3 linked regions of the Tamandua tetradactyla genome follow. The protein of the gene in region 2 interacts with the protein of the main gene of each other region in a pairwise test. Links are inferred from orthologs where the notes say so. Each region holds a gene or a part of one and is shown on either strand. Other genes may lie near its edges. The genes, in order: DZIP3, HNRNPUL1 and PRPF40A.

Region 1 (7,523 bases), on a different chromosome or scaffold from region 2:
AGCACAAATCACACTAAACGTTAAAATATTGAGATCATTCCTATTACAATGAGACAAATTGCTCACTACCACCATGATTATGTCACATTTAAGAGATTATGACAATGTAATAAATTACTGGAAAAGAAGAGATGAAATCATTATTTACTGATACGTCTAGAAAATCTAAGATAGTAAGCAAAACTCTAATAAAATTAATGAGATTTTGGTTTGATTCCCGGAGGCTGCCCATGCCTAAATAAATAAATAAATAAATAAATGATATTTTAGGTAGGTGGATGAAAGATTTACTAAAAATCAGTATCTTTAAGAATAGCAATAAAAATGAGAAATTTATGAGAAAAAAAGAACCCAGTCAGTAACAAAAAGCATGTAATAGGAATACACTAAGAATGACAAAATATTATATGACAAAGAATACAAAATTTCATTGCACACAAAATACACCATGAACACTTGCTATTAACTACCTCAGCAAACTACATCTCTAAAACTCCCAACCTAGAAATTCAGAAATTCTTTCAGACTCACTGTCTCATTTCTCACATCCACAATTAGTCAGCAAGTCCTGCCTATTCTACTTTATATATATATATTTTTCAAATTTGTCACCTCTTCACTCTGTCCACTTCCATTATACTAGTTATCCTTTAGACACAGTCCAGCAAATTATACAGTCTCCCTATTTCAAGTCTCATCCTCTTCAAAATCATACCCCATCCATCAGCCAGTTATCAGGTAAAATACAAACCTTACTAGGTCAAGCCCTAGTCTAAAGCAAAGATCACCACTTAATTCAGGATGGAATCCAAGCTCTAGCCTAACATCACCTTTAGTTAACTGAATCTAGCTTCATAGCCTCCTCCTCCTCTACACTATTTTGACCTTAAAAGTGTGGCTCTGTGTTTCTTAAATTAGGATACGCAAGTATCTCTAGCTAAAGATGTCTTCTACTAACTTACAACATCAATTTTTGGTGTGGATTTTTAGAGGAAGACATTTTATATCAAAATAACTACTCTATGGAGAAAACTGCAAAATTTGTATGGCCGCTTAAAATGAAAGATTTCTAATTAAGAAAGCATTAAAAAATCTATGAATTGTGTGGTGTGTGAATTATATCTCAATAAAGCTATTAAAAAAAAAAGAAAGCATTACAGCAGGCAGTTTTTACGCTCTCCCCAAACCCAGCATATGGGTCATTATATACTTGCCAGTATAGTGAAAAAGCCTATTTTTTTCAAATTTATACCACTGCTAAATTCTTATCACTACATTTGCAAATGACCATCCAATGATGGCCATATTCACCAAGAACCCACTTAAGCCAGGTAAATGTTCTCTTTACATTGATTAACTAATATTATAATGGTCTCTATCTCCAACTACTCTTACCCTTGCTCTCTCCACTCCAGCCATGGTGGCCTCCTTGCTGTCCCTGACAACACATTGCCATGCCCATTTCGAGGCCTTTGCCCTTATCACTCTATCTTTGCTCTTATTATTTCCTATATGCCCAACATCTGGATACCTTTTCTCCTAAATTGCAGGGCTCTTTCTTAACTCCTTGAAGTATTTCCTCAAATACTGCTTTCTCAATAAGACCTATCCTGATGACCCCATTTAAAATTATAACTATCCACACAACCACCACCATTACTCCAGAGTAATACCTCTGCTCTGTTTTTTTTTTCTCTAAATTATCTTCTTTAACTGTTTATCGTCTTTCTACCAGAGTGTAAGTTCAATGGCAGCAGAATTTGTTTCATTCACTGACGCTTGCATCTTTGAACATTAAAGGGTCTCAAAAATGTTGAACAACCCTATGAAACAGGTATTACTATTAGTTAGACTTTATTCACCTTACCTAGAGACTGAAATACAATGAGAATTTGCCTTTGGTCAAATAGTAAAAGGTAGAGTTAGGATTTGTACCACACAGCCTGCCTCCACCATTTACCATCACTGTATGGTCTCTCATTTGCATAATGAATTCCCATATGTACTTTCTATTTAGTTCATTTCCCTTATTACACAGCAGTGAAGAAATTATCTTTGTATCTTGACTGGCAATGCCTAGCCCCATGTTATACATTTAATAATTGTTTACTGAATGAATGAATGTTATGTATACATTCCTTAACCAAAGACTTTTACGTGAATGTCTCATTGGCCAAATCATTTGAGGCTTTCAGATTTAATAGCAAAAATTATATTTTTAATATCGAAATAAGTCTTGCCTTTAAAAATGTAGTGATATAAAAAATACGTTCTTTGAATTGAGAAAACATGATTTCTGATTAATGAGTTAACTAAATGGTCATGCACTCTATGCTTACAATTTATCATTAGTTGGTTTTTTAAAGCTTTATTCGACATTAACACAAATTAAGACTCCAAAACCATCTACTCACTCACTTCATAACATATTCTTGCATACACTAATTATCCGATTTAAAAAATACAAAGTGTCATCTTTCCAAACACCGAGATTTATAAAACAATCACACCAGACAAAAACTGACACCTTCATTTACAAAAACAAACTCTAACGAAACCACCCGGAAGAGCAATACACTATCTACTGACACCCGAGTCGCCCGGAGGCAGTGTTTTCGAATCATTTTGACAAGACTACCGTAAAGGCACGAATATCTCGACACAAAATCTAAACGTTTACTCTGAAAAACATTACTAGGTAGAAGGGATAAACGTATAAGAGATTTAAAATGATGAACCTCCCAAACCGCCTCAAAGTCTAGTGCCCAAAGATCTTCCACCTCAGATTTCCTCACCGTGTCTAGACTAGGGCAAAGCCACCATTTCCCAAGTAGAAGATGATGTACAAAAGAAAAACCGGCCATCCAGAGTGAAGGCCGAAGAAGCAAACGAAAACAAAAGCAAAGCAAACAGGTGAACAGCCAGCCCCAGACGCCACAGAAGCCCCTGACGCCCCTACATCGGTTAGCCACAATCGCGTAACTCGCGAGATTTTTCGTATTCACGGGATCATGAAGCCGAAACCCCGCGGGCTCAGAGAAAAGAGGGGATTTGGAGGGACCGGGCCTTAACGCCTCCCCCACAAACCCACCGAGTGCGTGGGCACTCCGAACCACCCCTCTACTCTTCAACGAGATCCAGCCCCCCCAGCGTGCCTAGGAACTTCCGGGGGCTGACCGGAACCGGAAGCTCGGGGGAGCGAGGGGGTGGGGCCGAAAAATCAAAAAAGCGCGGCGAAAGTTGGAGACCAGAGCAGACAAGGTGGTGGAAATCTTCAGGTGGGCCCGTGATCGGTCCCGATGGACTCCACCGCCTGCTTGAAGTCCTTGCTCCTCATCATCAGTCAGTACAAAGCCGTTAAGTCTGAGGCGAACGCCACCCAGCTTTTGCGGCACTTGGAGGTGAGGGATCTAATAATCCTTAGTCCATGGGCGGTGGGGTGTGGCGGCCCTATCCCTGGAAGGCCTCTCGCTCCCTGGGCTGTTTGTTAAGGTAAAAGCGAGGGAGTGTCAGCTTTGAATTCTCACTCTCCACCCCGCCCCTAGTTCCTCCACGGTTAGCTGTCCGCAGCGATCAGGTTGAGCGCCGAAAGAAGGCTCTGGGAAAGGGGAGAGTGGAATAAAAGGTTAGGGAATTTAGGCTGTGTTTCTGGTAGATTAGAGGAGAAAGCTCGGACTTGTATTTTCTCTTCTTTTGCTTCTTGTTCTGGTTTTGCCATCGAAATAGAGCCCTCGCAGAATATGCAGTGAACTTGTACTTGAAAAATACTATTTCAACTTTCTTTGGCCTAAGAAGCAATCCCTTTCTCCAATTCTAGTAATCGTAATCATGTTTCTTTACAAAAATATATTGCTCACAGTTTTTAAATCCTAAAATGCTGAATTGTATTCACTTTTTCTTAGTTCCCAGTGATTTGTGTTTAGATTATTATTGTTATAACTTTTCTTTGGAAAAAATTATAATCGCACATAATTCCCTGTGACCCTTATTATTTTGAGACTCTTGTTATCAATTGTTAACGCATTTGTGGAATTCAAATGTTAATCTGTTAAATAAAAAGTAGGGTGCACAGGTGGTTTAGTGGTAGAATGCGCGCCTTCGATGCGGGAGACCCGGGTTCGATTCTTGGACCATGCACCTAAAAAAAAAAAAAAGTTAAGCTCACTCATTCAAGGCATATTTTAAGAATTCTCTCTTTGTAGAATTCCTCTGCTAACATAGAATTGAACGTAATTTAAAAATCTATTCTACTTGGTTTATTACCCCTCTAATGAAGGTCTGATGTACCAAGGATTGGCAGAATACTGCAAAGAGAAGATGATTGTGAATGGTATAACAGCACCAACTTTTGGTGAAACTATAGTATTATAAATGTGTCTTTGTTCTCCTGAGCTTCAGTGGGGCTCCTCTTCGAACTATTGGAGATACCCACATCCTAAGTAGGTTTGTTTTTGTTTTTGTTTTTGTTTTTGTTTTCATCCATTATCACAATAAGTCCCAGCAAACATAACAGTTAAGTTTCAAACTAGGATAGAGCAGTGTGCTGGTGGCAGTCCAGAAGCCGCAAAATAAACATGGCCATCAGCTTTATTTAAGAATTAAACATTAAGTATTTTATTTTAGTTAGCAGTCTGAAACATTGCTTCTCTCAGAGAATAGAGGTATATTTTGATTCTCAGTGCAATTTTAGCATGAATTGAAGGAGATTTCAAAGCAATTTGTGGCTTAAAAACTGACTTCTTGAAAGATTCACAGAAAACTGTTCTGGCATTGGGGTATTTTGTTGCAAGGGTGTGATGAGTACTAGCTTGAAGCGACTACTCTTAAGAACTTTTTTTTTTCAATTGAGAGATGACATACATACAGTAAAATACATCAAGTACATTAATCTTAAGTGAGGCACTTGATGGTTTTTATTACATTTGTACACTCATAGAGCCATCATCTGTATCAAGATATAGAACCTGTCCAGCCCCTATAAAGTGTTTCATTATCCCTTTCCATAAGGTTCATATAAGTGGACTCAGAAAATTTGTACTCTTTCATGTTTGGCTTCTTTCACTCAAAAAAACACAAAAATCTGAAGTTCATTCATGTTGCAACATATAAAAGTACTTCATTCTTTTTTATTGCTGTATGGAATTCCATTGTGTAAATATATAGCAGTTTGTTATGAATGAACAAACTCATTTCTTTAATATGCTGAGGAGTGGAATTGTTAGGTGGTAGGGTAAGCTTATGTTCAGCTTTAGTTGAAACTGCTAAAAACTGCTCAACAGTTTCCCCAAAGGTTATACCATTTTACCCTCCACACTGCAGTATATGAGATTTGCAGTCTCTCATCCACTCCTCCACAACAGCCCCTGAATTAAAACAGTCAGTTTTTTTATTTTCCCATTTTTAGTGGGTGATCATTTGTATTTTTAATGGTACGTTGTCCGTGTCTCCTCGCTCAACGTCGGGCCCCCGGCCGGCGGAGGGTACGACAAGAAAAGGGGGAGAGAGAAAGAGACGCAGACAAACCGGTCCTGGCGGTAGAAAACGAGTCCAGAATACGCAGCAGTTGTAAGTACAAATCTTTACTGGGTCTAAGCTTGCATTATCTATAACTTTCCCCGACCGGGTGAATACATCCCGCGGGGGAGCGACCTCTGTGCGGCCGTCAGGCACGGCTCCTTGTGGGTCGTCTCCCCCGCCTCGTCCGGGCAATACCTTATATACATAATTCAAGCCCAATAGGTTGTTGCCGCGTCTAAGAGGGTGATTGGTAGATCGGGTTGGTGGGCGTGTGTGTCATACGCGGAAGCAGGATGTGGGCGCCATCTTGGCTCACTCGATGGGCGGGGGGAGCTTTAGAGCAGGCTGCAGCGCGTCCACTAGGCCTGACCCGGGTGGCGGCTCTCCACATCTCCCCCTTTTTTACTTATTTTGACCCGGTGTCTCCATTGATGAGTGAGCTCCCGTGGGCCGGAACGGCCCACTACATGTTTTGGTGCTTTGGGGAGTCTGGACTAGGCTTGCTAGGCACCAACCAGAATGCCTCCTCATATAGAGACCGGAGGGCCCGTGAACCGGAAACCACGTGACCCTCCCTGCAGTGCTTCGCCTCGCAACCGGGTTATGAGGGGGGCAGGAGAGCGGCAACCAGAGTCGAGAGTGTCGTAGGTGTCTCTGTGCAATGGCTTAAGTCTAGTCTGGCCAGGACCGCGACTTTGCCTAGAGACTCTCTTTCGACCAAAATTATGACTTCTGGTGCCGCCACTTATACCTGGGATACAGCCATGGGCTTTGCGGCAGACCTTACTTTCGAGCGTCCCGCCTTGAGTGGCCGTGACGGGCCACGCAGTGGGGGGGAGGACAGGGCTACGGTGCGGGGGTCGCCAGGGGCATCAGGGGCAAGTGACATAGCCAACATAGTGGTGACGCGTAGCTGTTGCTGCGTCTGGAACAAGCGTTCTAACAAACAATCAACAATGAGCAGAGTTACTAAGAGTCCCACTGCTAAAAGAATCCAAGTGGTCAACCTGGGCCAAGAGAACCATGAGGTGACTTAGTCCCACAGTAGCTCGTAGTGGGAAAAGTGGGGTTAAAGCTAGTTTCTCTTCTACTCGGTCGGAGGGTCACTTGCACTGTTGTTGTCATCTTTTCGGTCGTCGCCATCATCAGTAGGGCTGGAGACCGGGCCTGATGGTTCAGGTCGAAAGCTTGCTGACTTGTCGGGCAGCAGTTTCTCGGCGCCCCCGGGCGGTGTCACGGTTCTCACCAGTCTCTCCGGAATCCACACCGGCTGGCGTCCTGGTTCCTGGGGAAAGACACAAACAGAGCCTCTGGCCCAGCTGAGCACCGGGTCAGGGCCTTGCCACAGTCCTGACAGGACATCTTTCCATCGGACCAAACCTCTATGTGATGGGTTTGGAGTGGTATGCTGGAGGGCAGGTGTCATTCCTTGTGAGTTTTCATTTAAGAAATTATATGTAAACAAGGCTACTGACAGTTGGGCTTTTGGGGATAGGCCGTGGCCCATTCCTTCCTTTTGTTTTTTAAGCAATTCTTTGAGAGATCTGTGTGCTCTCTCTATGATACCTTGCCCTTGGGGATTGTAAGGGATACCATGCTTTAACTGCACTTCTATAGTTTCACAAAATTTTTGAAAGGTTTTACTGGTATAAGCAGGTCCGTTATCTGTTTTCAATATTTTTGGCTTGCCCCATGCCGCCCAGGCGGCAAGGCAGTGAGCAATAACTTGATGGACCTTTTCTCCTGTTTCAGCGGAGGCAAACATAACTTGAGAGCATGTGTCTATTGACACATGTAGATATTTGGCCTTACCATACTCTGAATGGTGAGTGACATCCATTTGCCAGATGTCTCCCGGAATGAGGCCTCTAGGGTTGACTCCGATTGAAGGAAGCACTCTTGACTCTGTGCAATTTTGGCAGGCTCTGACTATGTCTCTAGCAGCTGCGCGCGGTATGTTGAATCGCTTGGCTAGAGTGCCTGCATTGATGTGAAACTTAGCGTGA
Region 2 (7,166 bases):
GGAACCACAGTGGGAAGCTCTGTTCTGACAAGCCCCCATTAGAACACCACCCCACGCCCAGAGCACAAGACCCGCCTAGCTCCCAAATCTTCCAGGAACCCGCTTAGAAACTCTTGGGAATTCTCAATCCCCACAGATGCTTCCAAACTGCTGAGGTTCCCTGCAGCCCACAAGAGATGTCCCCAGTCCCCTTAGTGTCCTAAGGTGCCCCAGACTCCCAGAATGCTCCCTTCCAAGCCCCCGCTCATCCTCCCACTCATCACTCTGTCACCTTAGGTACGCCCTGATGTTCCGTTGCTGGGAGCTAAACCCCAGGGACCGGCCAAGTTTTGCAGAACTACGGGAGGACCTGGAGAATACACTGAAGGCCCTGCCCCCAGCCCAGGAACCTGACGAAATCCTCTATGTCAACATGGATGAGGGTGGGGGTCATTCCGAGCCCCTTGGAGCTGCTGGAGGAGCTGACCCCCCCATCCAACCTGACCCTAAGGATGCCTGCAGCTGCCTCACTGCCGCTGAGATCCACCCTGCCGGACGCTACGTGCTCTGCCCTTCCACAGCTCCCGGCCCCACCCTGCCTGCCAACAGGGGCTCCCCTGCACCGCCAGGGCAGGAGGATGGAGCCTAAGTCAACCCTCCATCTGTGACTCCCTCTCAGGACCCAAGCTAGGCACTGCCACTGGGGGGAATGCCCCACGTTACTTTCCCATCCCAGGCCTTTCCTTCACGTGCAGCCCTCCTTTCCCACCCACCTCCAAACATCCCAAACAGACCCTCCCTCTTCTCCAGGCCTTAGCGTCCTCATCTGTAAAAGGAAGGGAGTTAGCTTCAGTCCTGAAGGGTCCTCCCAGTTTGACATTTCGAAATTCTAGATTCTAGGATCTAAAGAGTCTAGAGTTTAAGGTTCTGAGTTTCAAAGATGCTATGAGTCTTTGGTTCTAAGGAGCTATTTCAAGGTCTCCACTGATAAAGTTCTAAGGTTCTAGACGTGGAGGTTCTAAGGCCTAATGTACTAAAGCTCTGAGATTCTATGAATCTAGATTTTCTGGTTCTACGATTCTTGATAAGGGTCCAAGATTTTAGGTTACAAAGCTCTAAGATTCTAGTTCTAGCATCTAAGGCTTTATAAGACTCTGGATTATAAGGCTTCAAGTTTTCTACTCTTAAGATCTGAGATTCTCATGACAGTCAATTCTAGGTTCCAAGGCTTTATGATCCTAGATTCTTTTGTTATAAGAACCTGGATCCTAAGAGTCTAAGTTTCTAGAATCTGCATTTCAAAAATTCTAAGTCTAAACACAGAGGTTCTAAGGTCTAATGTTCCGAGATGAGATGTTCGAACACTCAATGAACCTAGATTCTCTGTGTCTAAGATTCTAGATCATATACTCTGAGATTCTAGATTATTAAACTCTAATAAGATGACGTTGTTTCTATATTCCAAGGCACTGTAGATGCTATTGGTCTAAGATATGGATCCTAAGCATCTAAAGTTCGAAGACTATCACCGTTAGTTGTAAATTTCTAAGATTCTAGACACCAACATTCTAATCATTTCTAATGTTGGACACCTCTAGGTTCTATGCTACATTCCGTCTTTCTAGGATTTTAGTTCCTAAGAGCCCAAGAGTACACATTTCTAAAATATTAAGATTCCAGGCACTGTAGTTCTAAGACTCAAATGCTCTAAGTTTCAAAGATTCTAAAATTCCACAGGTCCAGAATATTAGTATGATTCCAAGGTTGGAACCTTATAATATTCTTCTATGTGCCCCTCCCTTTCTTAGCCACCTCTGTTTCCTTCTACCCTTGAGTGGAGGTGTGCTGCTGCCCTCAAGCTTTGCAATGCATTAGGGATGCCTCCTCCCCCCCCCCAGGAGACAATCTCCCCCATTTTGGGTCATGCTGCCCCCTTGAGCCAGTCCTTCATCCCCCATGTACAGAGTGTGGACTCTGGTGCCTCTGGAGAGGCTCAGTTCACATAAAACTTCTGTCTCTTCTTGTCTCCCTCCAATCAGCTGTGGTGTGGCCCCTCTCCCTGCCAACTCAATTTCCCCATCAATAAAAAGGAGGTGGTAGGGCCTCAGAGTTGTCATGTCACTATAGAGCTACTCAGAGGGTAGAAAATACACAGAGACAAAAAGACACACAAGCAAAGAAACCCAGACTGAGAAACTCTGAGTTAGGAATAGGCACATAGATACACCTGGGGTCACATAAAGACCCCCAAAGTCACAGGCACATGAATCAATGGACATAGGTGTGATGGTTCACAAATACAAAGGCACTGAAAGAGATAAACGAAGTTACACAGAAACAAACATCTTTACAAACATACACACAGGCAGATACAAGGAATAGGAAGATCAGAGTAACAGAGATCCTAAAACAGTGACACAAGTACTCAGAGACATATAAAAGTACAACAGGTACAGGCGCAAACGTACAAATTCACACAGAGACACAGGTACAGAACGCTTGCCATAATCACCGGCCACCAAGGGGACCTCTGCCAAGACAAGCCCACTGTCTTGCAGGCATTGGCGGGCATCCGTTCCTGGGTGTGTCCCACATCTGATGGAGGAACCCTTGGCAGCGCCCGGACGCCCCCCGGTGGCGGCTCCTGAGGACCGGGAACAGTTCAATCCGGGCCACAAACTTTTTAGAACAAATCATTGTGGGAAGCTGGGAGGAAAGAGGAAGTCGGACGTGGGCGAGGGGCGGGGTGTCTGGACTGGAACCTCCGGGCCCACGTGAGTGTCTGCCTCGTTTCTGAGTGGGTGCTGTGTGTCTAGATTGCTGGAAGCTTGCAATGTAACTGTCCTGTGTGTCTTTTGATGCCGCGTGTCCGTGCGGACCTTAGCTGACGCGTATACGCGGCTATCTGATGCATCCTGAATTGGTGTATTATGCCCGGAATTATTGCATCTAATCTCAGTCTCATCGATTTGTACATCCGTGCCGTGCATTCATTTACGTTGAGGCTGTTGTGTGGCTTTTGTGGGCTTAAGATATGGCTCACTGGACAGAGGGTGGGTGTATTGTGTATCTCGCTTGTGGATTTTACTGAAGTTTCGTCTTTCGAGTTAGAGACGACAGGTAGTGCAGGATTCCGGGTGCGAGGCAGTCATTGTGAAACTCTGTGGCGTTTGTATTTATCAGTGTGAAGCTTAACTTCGTATCCGTATATTGAGCTTGTCAGTACCGCCGCCAAACAGATCTGGGGTAAGAACAAACAAAAACAGCTTCTGGAATTCTTTCGGGGGCGGGGCCTCCTGCGAGAGCCCATTCCACTTAAGGTACCAACCATAGAGAAGAGGCCGCAGAGCTACGCTCGACGAGGGCCTTGAGAGCTGCACCATCGAAGGGGAGGGGGTGCAGCTTCCTTTACAACTTTTCTCCCCTTGTTAGTCTGGCCTCTATTTTCGAATCTTCAAGGGCTCTCCGAAGTCAAGTGTTGTTTTCATAAAGGCAAGTGAGTTTCTTCCAGGTTAAGAAAAAAATGATCTACTTCATCTCTATTCCGTATACCTCCCTCTACAGCGAAACTTTTGAGGCCGTCCTCTGAAAAACGGCCAATCTGGTTAGCTTTTCCTAAAGCATCCAGCTATCTTGGCTTTACGAGATAAAACAGTAATTGCGATTGACCGACAGACTGTTTTGAAACCGCCCTAACGGCAAGAGGCGGGTCCTTCGTTAATAAATCTCCTTCCGGTTCTTAAAGCCACCAGAAGATTGGTTGTAGTGGTTTTACCGCTTGGCCACCTCAAGGGGCGGGAGATCTACACCAATCAGGATGTGTGTTACAGAGATACTAGGTTGATGAAAGAACTGCGCAGGAAAGGGTTTGGTGGCGCTCATTCTGAGACCTCATTGCTGACTGGTCCAAATCTTTACTCCCTTTCCTTCATTTGATTCTACGGTAGCGGGCGCGCGGGCGCCACCCAATCAGCGCGCGCTCCGCCTTCCGCCTTTTCCCGCCCTCCGCTCCGGCCGCGGCAGCGACGTAGGCCAACGCTTCCTTCCCGGTAGTTCCTAGATCTTCTCGTTTCCATTGTTTTGAAAGCCGCGATCTAATTGGCTGAGTTTCCGGACCCGCGCCCGTTGCCCCGTGATCTGGCCAATTGGCATGCGTGTTGCATCACACGGGGCCACGGGGAGGGGGAGGTGGCGGCGGCGGCCATTTTGAGCCGCCGCCGCCGCCATTGGAGTGCCCCCCCCTTCTTCCCCCTTCGCCTCCTGACAGGAAAGGTTTAAGGGGGACAGAGCCCTGGGAGGCCGGGCCGGGCTCGGGGGCCGCCCCGGGGGCCCGGGCCATGGATGTGCGCCGTCTGAAGGTGAACGAACTTCGCGAGGAGCTGCAGCGCCGCGGCCTGGACACTCGCGGCCTCAAGGCCGAGCTAGCTGAGCGGCTGCAGGCGGCATTGGAGGCCGAGGAGCCCGACGACGAGCGGGAGCTCGAGACCGACGACGAACCGGGGCGACCCGGGCACAACAACGAGGAGGTCGAGACCGAGGGGGGCTCCGAGCTGGAGGGAACCGCGCAGCCACCGCCGCCCGGGCTGCAGCCGCACCCGGAGCCTGGCGGCTACTCGGGGCCGGATGGACATTGTGAGAGTGCGCGGGGCGGGGGCCGGGGCCGAGGAGTCCGGGCCGAGAAAGGGCTGAGGGACGCGGGAGTCTGGTGCCTGGGGCTAAGGAGGCGGTCTTAGGGGCTAGGGATCCTGAGACCCGCCGCTGAAAAGGATGTGGGGACAAGGGCCTCGGGAGGGCCGGAGGGTGGATCCTGGCATTCGGCGCAGGGGAGATGTTGGAATTGGCGACTCTTCGTTTCGGAGATGAAGATCGGGGGTAAAAGATTTCGGAGCCCAGGGCTCGGAAGCCGGAAATAGAAGAGACTGAAAGGTCTCGGAAAGGATGGTCCCAGAGTTTAGAGCTGGATGGTCTTGGGGACTTTGCTAGCCTAGCGTGTGGGTGTGGGAATTGGAGGCCGTGTGTTTCCAAGGTTGGAGAAGGAATAACCAGCTCTTCGGCATTGGGAGAGTTTGAGGATTGAAGTTTGCAGCTACATGGGGTGCTGGGATGGTTTGTAGAGATGGAGGGTCCATTGGGCCTGGAGGTGGTCAGCATCCTCTTGAGGATGGCTTGGAGGGTCTCTGAGATCCAGGGCTGGAAGGCCAACCTTGAGGCAGGAGCAACTTGGGCATTTGGTGTGGGTAGGAGGACCTTCAGATTTGCTGCTAAGGGAGGCTTAGGGAACCTTGGCGTCCAAAGTTCTCTGAACAAGAGACCTGGGGGCCTAAGGCTGAAACAACTAAGGGTAGATACCTCAGGGTGGGGACAGATAACAGGTTGTTGGAGTTTGAAGTAACTGGAGTACTTGGGGACAGAGGATCCTTGTATCCAGTATAGGGAAAAGGGGTGAAGGGAGCTTGTTGGATGTGCAGAAGGAAAACTGTTTGGTTTGACTGGGGATTCACAATAGAGTGGGGGCAGTGTTTTGGGGGCCAAAGACCTGTCTTTGAGAAGGGGGCACCTGGATTCCTGAAAGCAGTTATCTGTGTGCCGTGGGGCGGGGGGGTGACCTCAGGATTTGAGGGCATAAGAGGGACTTAGGTAGGGCAAGGGCTTCTGAGCAGAGGAGACCCTGGTATGGGAAGGAGTGAATTTGGAGTTAGAAAAGGGTGAATTTTTAGCAGGAGTGGGGGTTGGAAATTTAGAGACCAAAAAAATAAGTGGGTGGGACTCTGGTGTCCAGAGTTTGGTTTCTTTGAAAAGAGGGTATACTGGGGCTTGGGACTAAGGAAATATAGAAACCTGATCACAGAAGAGACAAAATTTCAGGTTAACATTGGTTAATGAGGGATGGGAGCTAATGGAGAGGAGTGGGGAACCTGAGTATAGACTTAGGGTCGAGGAGGGTGCTAGGATTATCCAGGACCCAGGTGCAGAGAAGAGGACTTCCCATTGCAAAGGGAAGGGAAGGAGAAGTGGCCTGGTGTGCATGTCTAGGGCAGGAGGGACCTTGGCAAGGATACCTAGAAGGAGGGTAATGTGGGACAGTTTTGATCTAGAGGTCCAGCCAGAGGTGTCTCAGAGAGGAAGAGTTCAGTACTTCACTGCACAAATTCTAGACACACACAGACTTCCTTTCATGTCTGATTCTGTAATTTGGGCAAGTCATTCGTCTCTCTGAGCCCTATAAAATAGAGATGATGATAGGCCCCCTCAGGCTTGTAATGAATTAGATCATATATGTGGGGGGCTTAGCACTGGGCCTGCCTAGTAATTAGCAGGGGGATATTTTAGAGAGTGGAGAAGGACCCTGGAGTCAAAACTTCCCGACGCGATGCTGCTTCTGTGAGCACAGGAAGGGTGCTTGGGAAGAGGGATATAGGGCATGTGGGGAGACGAGCACTGTACTTAGAGCATGGAAGAGGCAGAATGGTTTGAAAGGGCCCCCTGTGTTTCATTTAGGAAATATTCTATTTTTTCCTCTCTCCCCTGCCCCCCATAACAAAATCTTATTAACCATTTTCGTGTCCACCCCCCAATCCTTCATTCAGCCTTGTAAACAGACCTATAACAAACCATGTGACTTGCAGCTATCCTCCCTTTGGGTTGCACCTGGTTTTGCCCAGATGTATTTGTCCTCTGAGAAGGAAACCAGTTGGTTAGCGGGTGGCAGAGTTATCTCTCCTTCCCTGTGTTTCTGCCTTAATGCTCTGGCACAGCCACTAGCAGGGCCCTGGAGACACCCAGCAGAGAGCTGCCCCCTGGGGTGGAGAGGCTGGGCCCTGCTCAGCAGAGGTTTCTCAAGTTCTCTCTGGGTTTGCCTGTAAGTTCTCCTCCTTGTGGGAGTTTCTGGTTTGGTACTCTGGTTTCAGTCCCAATTCTGAGATTTCTGATATGTTATGCCAATCCCAGGAGTGGTCTCCTCCATTCTCATCACTCAGTTATTGCCTATGTATCCTTCCTTTGTAGTCCTTAACACAATCATAACTTTTTTTGTGAGTATTTGTTTAATGTATGCTAACCTGAAGGCTTCTGCTGGGCAGGGGTTCAGCTCAGCTTATTCTCAACCATATCTCAGGGTCTATATAATACACACTCCAGGAATAGTTCATATTATTGTTCTTTCCATGCTCCAGCTGAGCTCCTTCTGG
Region 3 (7,684 bases), on a different chromosome or scaffold from region 2:
AATTCCTTGATGCTGAGTGTCAGCTCATTCTAGGATTTCTGTCCCACGTTGCCAGGAAGGTCCACACCCTTGGGAGTCATGTCCCATGTAGAGGAGAAGGGTGGTGAGTTTGCTTGTTGTATTGGCTGGAGAGAGAGGCCACATCTGAGCAACAAAAGAGGTTCTCTTGGGGGTGACTCTTAGGCCTAATTTTAAGTAGGCTTGACCTATTCTTTGTGGGGTTAAGTTTCATATGAACAAACCCCAACATTGGGGGCTCAGCCTATAGCTTTGGTTGTCCACACTGCTTGTGAGAATATCAAGAATTCAGCTTGGGAAAGTTGAATTTTCCCCCTTTCTCATTATTCCCTGAAGGGGACTTTGCAAATACTTTTTTATTCACTGTTCAAATCACTCTGGGATTTATTGGGGCAACACTCTGGACAACCCAACAAAATCTCATGTCCTACTCAAGGTTCCATGTACTTATGGCGTTCAATTAAGCTGTCTACATAAGTTATATTAGGAAACGCATGAGTCAAAATATAAATTTTAACTAGTAAATAAACATTTTTTGCTTTAGTCTCACACATAAGGTAAAATTTTAAAATGTTAATTACCATCTATTTTCAGCACCCTGCCATAATGACATTCCTTTGTTCTTCCTCATGCAAAAACACTTTTTAAATTTGTACAGTCACTATCATTATACACTCTAGGCATTCCTTGATTATAACATCTCAGTCTTTATCGTCTATCTTTCTTTCTGATTTCCTTTGTGCCCCCAGCCTTCCTCCCTCTATCAATCTCACATTCAACTTCATTCATTGTTTTAACATAATTGTATTACCATTAGGTAGTATTGTGCTGTCCATTTCTGAGTTTCTACATTCGGTCCTTTTGCACACTCTGTATCCCTTCAGCTCCAAATACCCAATATCTTATCCTATTTCTACCTCCTGATGGTCTCTGTTACCAATGAAATTCTCTAAGTTTATGTGTTTCTGAATATTTAAAGTAAACTCATGTCATTAGCAAAGTCTTAGATAAAGATCTTCTTTGCTACTATAGTATTATGTATCTATCAAAGCATACGCAAAAGCAAAACCAGGCTTAAATAACTGGTAGCAGAAAAAGAAGCAGGACAGTGACAAAGTCTATTTTATATCTTTTACTATTAACCAGGATATTTTTTCAGAAGATTACTGCCACCATTTTTTTCATAAATGTGAAATCATGCCAACTTTTATAAAATAGTAGGTTACAATTCATGCCTAGTTCATAGTAGGTTACATTGTAACCTACTGCATCAAAAGGTGGCAGACCAATAAACGCCTCCTATTTCAGGCTGTTTTGGGGAGAGAAAACAGTTTAACAACTAAGACTGGTAAAATTAGTAACTAAAATTGAATATCCTCTCATGCAAGAAGTTGAGAAGAGTTTATAGACAAAAATTCGATAGGATATCCAGCAAATTAAACTGCTTATAATTTTAAGAAAGTATAGGTTTCCCCTTCTGCAAAACCAGGTAGGCTATACTTTGTATTATGGTGATGACATTAGCTTAGAAAAGGTTGCTTAAACAGTTCAGCTAAGATGGGTTTACGGTGGATATGAGGGATAGTCTAAACTTTTTTCAATTGAGAGTGATCAAATAAATTATGGCAAACTGGTTTAAAATATACTAGACAAGTGAAGTTCTGAACTCCTCAAATTCATTTTGGTGGAGAGAATCAAATACAGGATAAAAAACCCTTGACTTTTTCACTGGACACCTTGTAAACTATAGTACTCTATGGACACTCTATAGAAGTCAGGTCTTTCTCTTTGTGCAAGTGCACTCAATGCTTCACACATTTAAAAGAAAAAATAAGTTGCATATAAAAATATTTGAATTTAAATTATTTCTTGATCTCTGCTTAAATCTGTCATAACTTTCTTTTTTTTTTTTTTTTTTTTTATTCCTGGGACATGTTGAAGCCTCTTCCATTAGGCAACATTAAGTATTCTCTGGATCTGGGACAAATACAGTTCCGGTCAAAATCTATTACCATAATTTTATAACGGACACTATCTGTGTGTATACAAAGGAAATTTAATATAAACTTACATACATGTAAATGAAATCAACTGCACATGGGACTATATAAAGCATTTTATCCAATATTTTATAGTTTAAACAAAAGTTAGTCAAATTCAGTCAAGTGCCAAATAAGTACGTACCTAATAACCCTGCGTCTATACCATCTTCATTCTTCAAATTTCCAGCATGTAACTCTGTAAATACAAAGAGGGGCTTAGGTAGAAAAGTAAGATTACTTCATAATTTGAAGAGTAATTCAAACGCTAGGAAAACATGGTGGAGTTGTTGAGAGTACTATGGAGTCCAAGTACCAGCTCAATTCTGATTCTACTTACTAACTAAATACCCTCCGGCAAGCAAATATGAGCTCTATAGGTTAAATACCATGTATAAAATGTGGATGATGTTTACTTCATAAGGTTAGTTGTGAAGACATTTTGTGAAATGCACATTACGAAACATACTAGGTCTTGAGTTCAGTTGCTTTCCCCATCCTCCAAAATTTAAGCAGAGCTCAATATCTTCTGCAATTGACTTCCACTTACTAACTTATTATGGCTTTATAACTTTATAATTCAAGGACAATCGTTCAGAGCAAAAGAGAAAGTACTTGTAAGACTAAACTAGCTCTCAAAGTTACAGTAAAAATAAAATAAAAAGTGGGTTGGAAGTGATAAATAAAATACTAGCAGCCAAATATTTAACATTGGCAGTTTTCACCCAATACCATTTCATGGAAAAGTAAAACACACTCAATAACTTGCCAATCTGTCTTATATGAAAATCAAGCATTGTAAGCTGTTAGATGCCATCTGCAGCCCATTAGGAGTGGGAAAGCAATGAGAAAAAAAAAAACAAAACTGGAGTTAAATCTGAGTTAGTGAAGGGAAACTAAAACTCGAATGATAACGTGCTGGGTGTTTTCTCTACAGCAAACCAAAACTAACGTAGTGTTTTATTTTCTTTTTCAATGACTTGGCCAAGGCCACACTTACTAGTGAGAACTAAGATTAAAACTCAGGTATATATTTTTCATTGTAATATGCAGTACCTAGCTATATATTAAATCCATATAAGCTTCTGCAAAACTTTTCAGAGCACATCTATTTTTATTCTAATCTGCCCAATATTTCACCTTCAGACACAGAAAAATAAAACTGATAGTAAGAGGAAGAAACCTATGGCTCCTACAGAATTTTACTTGGTCAAATGCAAACTAATACAAATCTGAGAGGCTAACGATTTCACCTATAAACGTATACATTTGGGCTGAGGGAAAGTAATCCTTGTTCTCCAGAAATTCTGATACTACCGGAGGAATCGGCGAACAGCATATTATCTTTAACCGTTTTATGGATCAAAGCCTTTGAACCTATGTAGCCTATTTTAATTACATGCACTTTTCACGGTTTCCTGTTAATGATAGTTGTTCTGACAATATTATTTTGACACTTTCATCCCAAGTGATTTTATTTCTTCAAGAGCACCCGCTTACCAAATGACACTTTCTTAAAATGGGTGCCTAATCATAGCTCAGGCCCTCCACCTTGGAAAAAGAATGACAGAGGAGTAAGAGCAAAAAAAAAAGGTGTAGATGCTGGCACTAGGTGAAAGGGCTGCTAGCGTGTCTGCTTTTCAGGGGTGGGGGGACAACGGAGGCAATACACGCCCTGGATTAACTACTATTCTGAACAGACTTTCAAGGTACGGGCTTCAGTACCTTTTACGATCAGGTAGACGATGGCAAGAAGAAAAGCAAGGAGGGCAGCAAACAGCAGCGAACACAGCATAGAGAGGATCTGGATCGGCCACCGCTGAGCCCCGGCTTGGCCGCTGGCGACCACCGGAAAGATGCCATTGCGCTTATCAGGCAGTAACGGAGACCCATCCCCGTCCGGCGGGAAGAGCGAGCCCTTCCTCGGCTCGGACGACGCCCCAACAGAAAACTCCGCCCGCAGATTGCGGGCTACTTGATCGCATCCGTCTTCCTCTTCGACCTCGCCCTCACCCCAACTCTTCCCCTGAGAGAATACGGAATACGTAGGCCCTGGAAACGTGACTGGGGTCCCGAGGCGACCGCGCCGCGAAACCGAGAGGCTCCGGCTCTCCACGAACGACATGGCGGGAAACACTGAGACGCCCGCGGAGGCCAAGCGGCTCCCACCCTCCTAGACCGCACGAACGCAGTAGCCAATCAGCGCCTGGGACCAGCGGCGGCCTCCACCACCCGGCGCCCGAGTGGAGGGGTGCGTAACCAGGCCGCTGCAGGGCGGAGAGAGAGCCGCAGGGCCGGATGAGAGACTAAGCGTCTCCGGACCAGAGCTGAACTCGAGTGCCGGCAGGTAAGACAGGGAGCTGAGAAACAAGCAAGGAGAAGCGAGCCGAGAGCAAAGGTAGCTGAGTCCCTTCCCCTAGCAGCGCTTCGTCCCAGCCGGAGACCTCCGCCACCCTCGCGTCATCTCCAGGCAAGTGCGCGCCCCGACAGCTCCAATGTCGCACCTTCCCGAGCCCGGTCCTAGCGCCCGACTATGCCCCTCCGATACATATTTCCAAGCCAATTCGCTTGCCCCTTTCCCTCTGCGCTCCCTCTCTTCATTGGCTATCCTGCGTAACGGCAGGTCACTGCATGCAATCTCCCTTTGTCGTAACTGCCCATTTCCTTTTCGCATCCTTATTTTCTCCCCGCCCAGACCACAACTTCCCTCCACGCTGCTGGGCATGTCTTCTTCCTACTCTGCGCGCTCTTCAGCTGGTGCGTACGGAGTTCGAACCCTTTCATTCAGGACCCCTCCTCCCGCGTTCCGCTCCCCTCCCCTTGGCCTCGAGCACCGCGCGCGCGCACCCCTGACCCAGCCACAGCTAACGCTAGGAGGTTACCCCACCCTACCCTACCAGGGGCAGCCTATGGTTTGTGGGGCATACGTAACTCGGGTGGGGGGTTTGAAGACGGCAGACCCCTACAGCCCCTCTCCCTACAGGGTGAGGCAGTCTAAGCTCAGGAAGCTGGGACACATTTGTCTTCTCTTCCCCGGGGAAGTTGGCGGAGTTGTCCCAGCAGAGGACTCGGCGCAGAAACTTCCTCCATCCCCCTTCCCCCCCCCCCACCCATGCAGGCGACGCCGAGTGAGGCTGAAGCTAGGGGCCAGTCGCTGCAGAGCTGCCTGCCGGCGACGCACTCTGATTGGACAGCAGGGAAGCCTGTCAGCTTATTGGCCCCGCTGATCCCGCCCCTCAGCACAGGGCAGCCTTTAACCTTTAGCCCCAGCGGGCGTCAGCCACTCAGATCGCTTCTTGTTGGTATATGTAGCGGCAGTGGCCGCCGGCGGAACAGTCTGAGCCCGACGATGAGGCCGGGGACAGGAGCCGAACGTGGAGGCCTCATGGTGAGTGAAATGGAGAGCCATCCTCCGTCGCGGGGTCCCGGGAATGGGGAGCGGAGATTGCCCGACTCAAGCCTCTGCTCCAGCTCTTGGGTCTCTGCTGACGGCTTCCTGAGGAGACGGCCCTCGGTAAGGGATCGGTGGGGCTGGGGGAAAGCGGCACAATGAAAAACGGAGTCAGAGAGACAGGAAGCTTTCCCCGGCAGGAGAAGAAGATAAGAGTGGACGAAGGAAGAGCTCGAGATGGTGGGATATGTTTTGAAGGAGAGAAATGGAGGGCAGGGATGCACAAAGAGAAGGATGTGGGACCCTGGAAGTTCCTAGGGGGCTTGGCCTAGGCAGTGACGCGGTGGAGGTGCTGAGCCCTGGGCGGGGTGAGCATCTTGGAGAGATAGGCCCGATTTTACAGAGAAGGGGGAGGCGGAGACTTGGTTTTGTAGATTTTAAAAGAGACTGCCAAAATTTGTTTTCACTAGTGATGGTGGTGTCTGCAGGGGGGACAACTAGGAGAGTTGGCAGGGAACGGTTACCAGATTTTAAGACCCGGAACAATGGACATAAAGGTAAAAAAAAAAATAGTTGTCTCTTTAAAAGCGCGTTAAAGCGGATGAATTAGTTGCTTGCGTTTAGCATCTATGAATGACAGGACTTAGATCTTTGAAAAAAATTTGTTTTGAGGGGCAGAAGTAATTTTAATTGTCTTAAAGGTTCTGTTGAGGAATACTGTATTCATTCGTTAGTAGCGATGTGTCCCTGTAAACCCACGCTGTTTGTTTTTTGGGACTAGGGCTCATCCGAGTTAATGTGGTATATTCAGGATTTTAAAGTTTAAAGTTGGTTTGGAAACAAAATCAAGAATAAGTAACGTTATTACAATATCTGACTATCTTTTGTATCTGGGAAAAATAATAAAGTTGTGGTTTTAGGTTACATTTTCTCTAATTTACAGCAAGCCAATCAGTACCTGGTTAAATTAATGTAGTTTTTAAAAAAGATTAATCTGGCTGTCCAATTATTTTAACTTTTCCCACTTTGTTCTGAAATTTGGTCACTTGCAAGTTTAAAAATATTCGAGTATTTTTTTAAATTTTGTTTTGAGATAAGAAGATATATGCTAACTTGATCACTTCCTCACACAATAGCCTAATACTGTGGTAGTACAGGTAACTGATATGTTGAGTTTTTGAGGAACATTTATTATTACTCGTAGTTTTAAAATTTTCACTGTTTTTCAGATGGGACACCCTGGTATGCATTATGCCCCCATGGGAATGCACCCTATGGGTCAGAGAGCCAATATGCCTCCTGTACCTCATGGAATGATGCCACAAATGATGCCTCCTATGGGAGGGCCACCAATGGGACAAGTAAGCATGTTATTGTATTTCTGTTTTATATTTATTTATTTGCCTTCTGGTATTATTGTGTCAAGATTTTGAAGTCTGGGCGGTTATTTGTAGCTGACTAAGAATTAGTTTATGCCAAAATATTGTTTTTAGGTAAGCCAAATGTTGGGTCATGACGGTAACCAAATTTTGAATGTATCAGCAATATGTCTTCTGCATAAAAAAGTTTTTGCCTTAACAGAACTAAGAGTTTTTCTTTTAATTTAATGTGAAAGTAATAATGTACATCTGTGCTTTTTAGTTCAATAACCTTTTTTCAAGCACATCGATTGAAGTTAATGTTCTGAGAGTAAATTTTCTAATATCTGTTATGCCAGTGTAACTTATATTGGTGGACCTTATCGAATCTGAAAATAGGAGTTGTTTAGGCCTTTGGCTTAGAATGAGTTTTATATTTTATTCCTCAGACTATCGTGTGTGTGTGTGTGTGTGTGTGTGTGTGTGTGTGTGTGTGTGTGTGTGTGTGTGTGTGTGTGTGTGTGTGTGTGTATGTATGTATGTATGTGGGGGGGGCAGGGATTTGAGATTTCTGCTCCATACTTTTGTTTCTTAAAGTACAGTGCCATGTAGCTAGTTCACTTTGCACTTAAACTATTTTTTTTTAATGCTGATTGCTTCTGCACTCCTGCTTATGAGCTGTCCCTTCCATCTCTAGCATAAGTGTAAATTGACATTTGTGGGAATGATTTGGATCAGAAGGTTTTAATGCTGACTCAGTGACTTTGATAGACCTGAGTTCCTAGAGAAACTACCAAGAGAGGTAACAGATTCGGTTATCATGAATAATTTTATGCCATCTGTATTCTGTATTAGGTTCTATACTACACAGATCCTTT

What was found.
Region 1: the proteins of HNRNPUL1 (region 2) and DZIP3 interact in binary tests that used the Homo sapiens proteins (3 or more experiments, as listed by UniProt). The link is inferred for Tamandua tetradactyla from reciprocal best matches to the Homo sapiens genes HNRNPUL1 and DZIP3.
Region 3: the proteins of HNRNPUL1 (region 2) and PRPF40A interact in a two-hybrid assay, tested with the Homo sapiens proteins (2 studies listed by BioGRID and IntAct). The link is inferred for Tamandua tetradactyla from reciprocal best matches to the Homo sapiens genes HNRNPUL1 and PRPF40A.

What each region holds. Positions count from the first base shown.
Region 1 is NC_135336.1:38,447,243-38,454,765, forward strand, and holds the start of DZIP3 (E3 ubiquitin-protein ligase DZIP3), read right to left. Parts: upstream 3,086-7,523; 5' UTR 2,796-3,085; intron 1-2,795. Other genes in the region: protein CIP2A, read left to right, coding at 3,300-3,401. UniProt on the Homo sapiens protein: E3 Ubiquitin ligase proteins mediate ubiquitination and subsequent proteasomal degradation of target proteins.
Region 2 is NC_135342.1:22,510,422-22,517,587, reverse strand, and holds the start of HNRNPUL1 (heterogeneous nuclear ribonucleoprotein U-like protein 1), read left to right. Parts: upstream 1-4,083; 5' UTR 4,084-4,316; coding exon 4,317-4,611; intron 4,612-7,166. Other genes in the region: AXL (tyrosine-protein kinase receptor UFO), read left to right, coding at 277-628.
Region 3 is NC_135329.1:123,080,669-123,088,352, reverse strand, and holds the start of PRPF40A (pre-mRNA-processing factor 40 homolog A), read left to right. Parts: upstream 1-4,646; 5' UTR 4,647-4,688; coding exon 4,689-4,814; exon of another isoform or gene 4,815-5,154; intron 5,155-5,175; coding exon 5,176-5,571; intron 5,572-6,677; coding exon 6,678-6,809; intron 6,810-7,684. Other genes in the region: ARL6IP6 (ADP-ribosylation factor-like protein 6-interacting protein 6), read right to left, coding at 2,203-2,256, 3,783-4,182.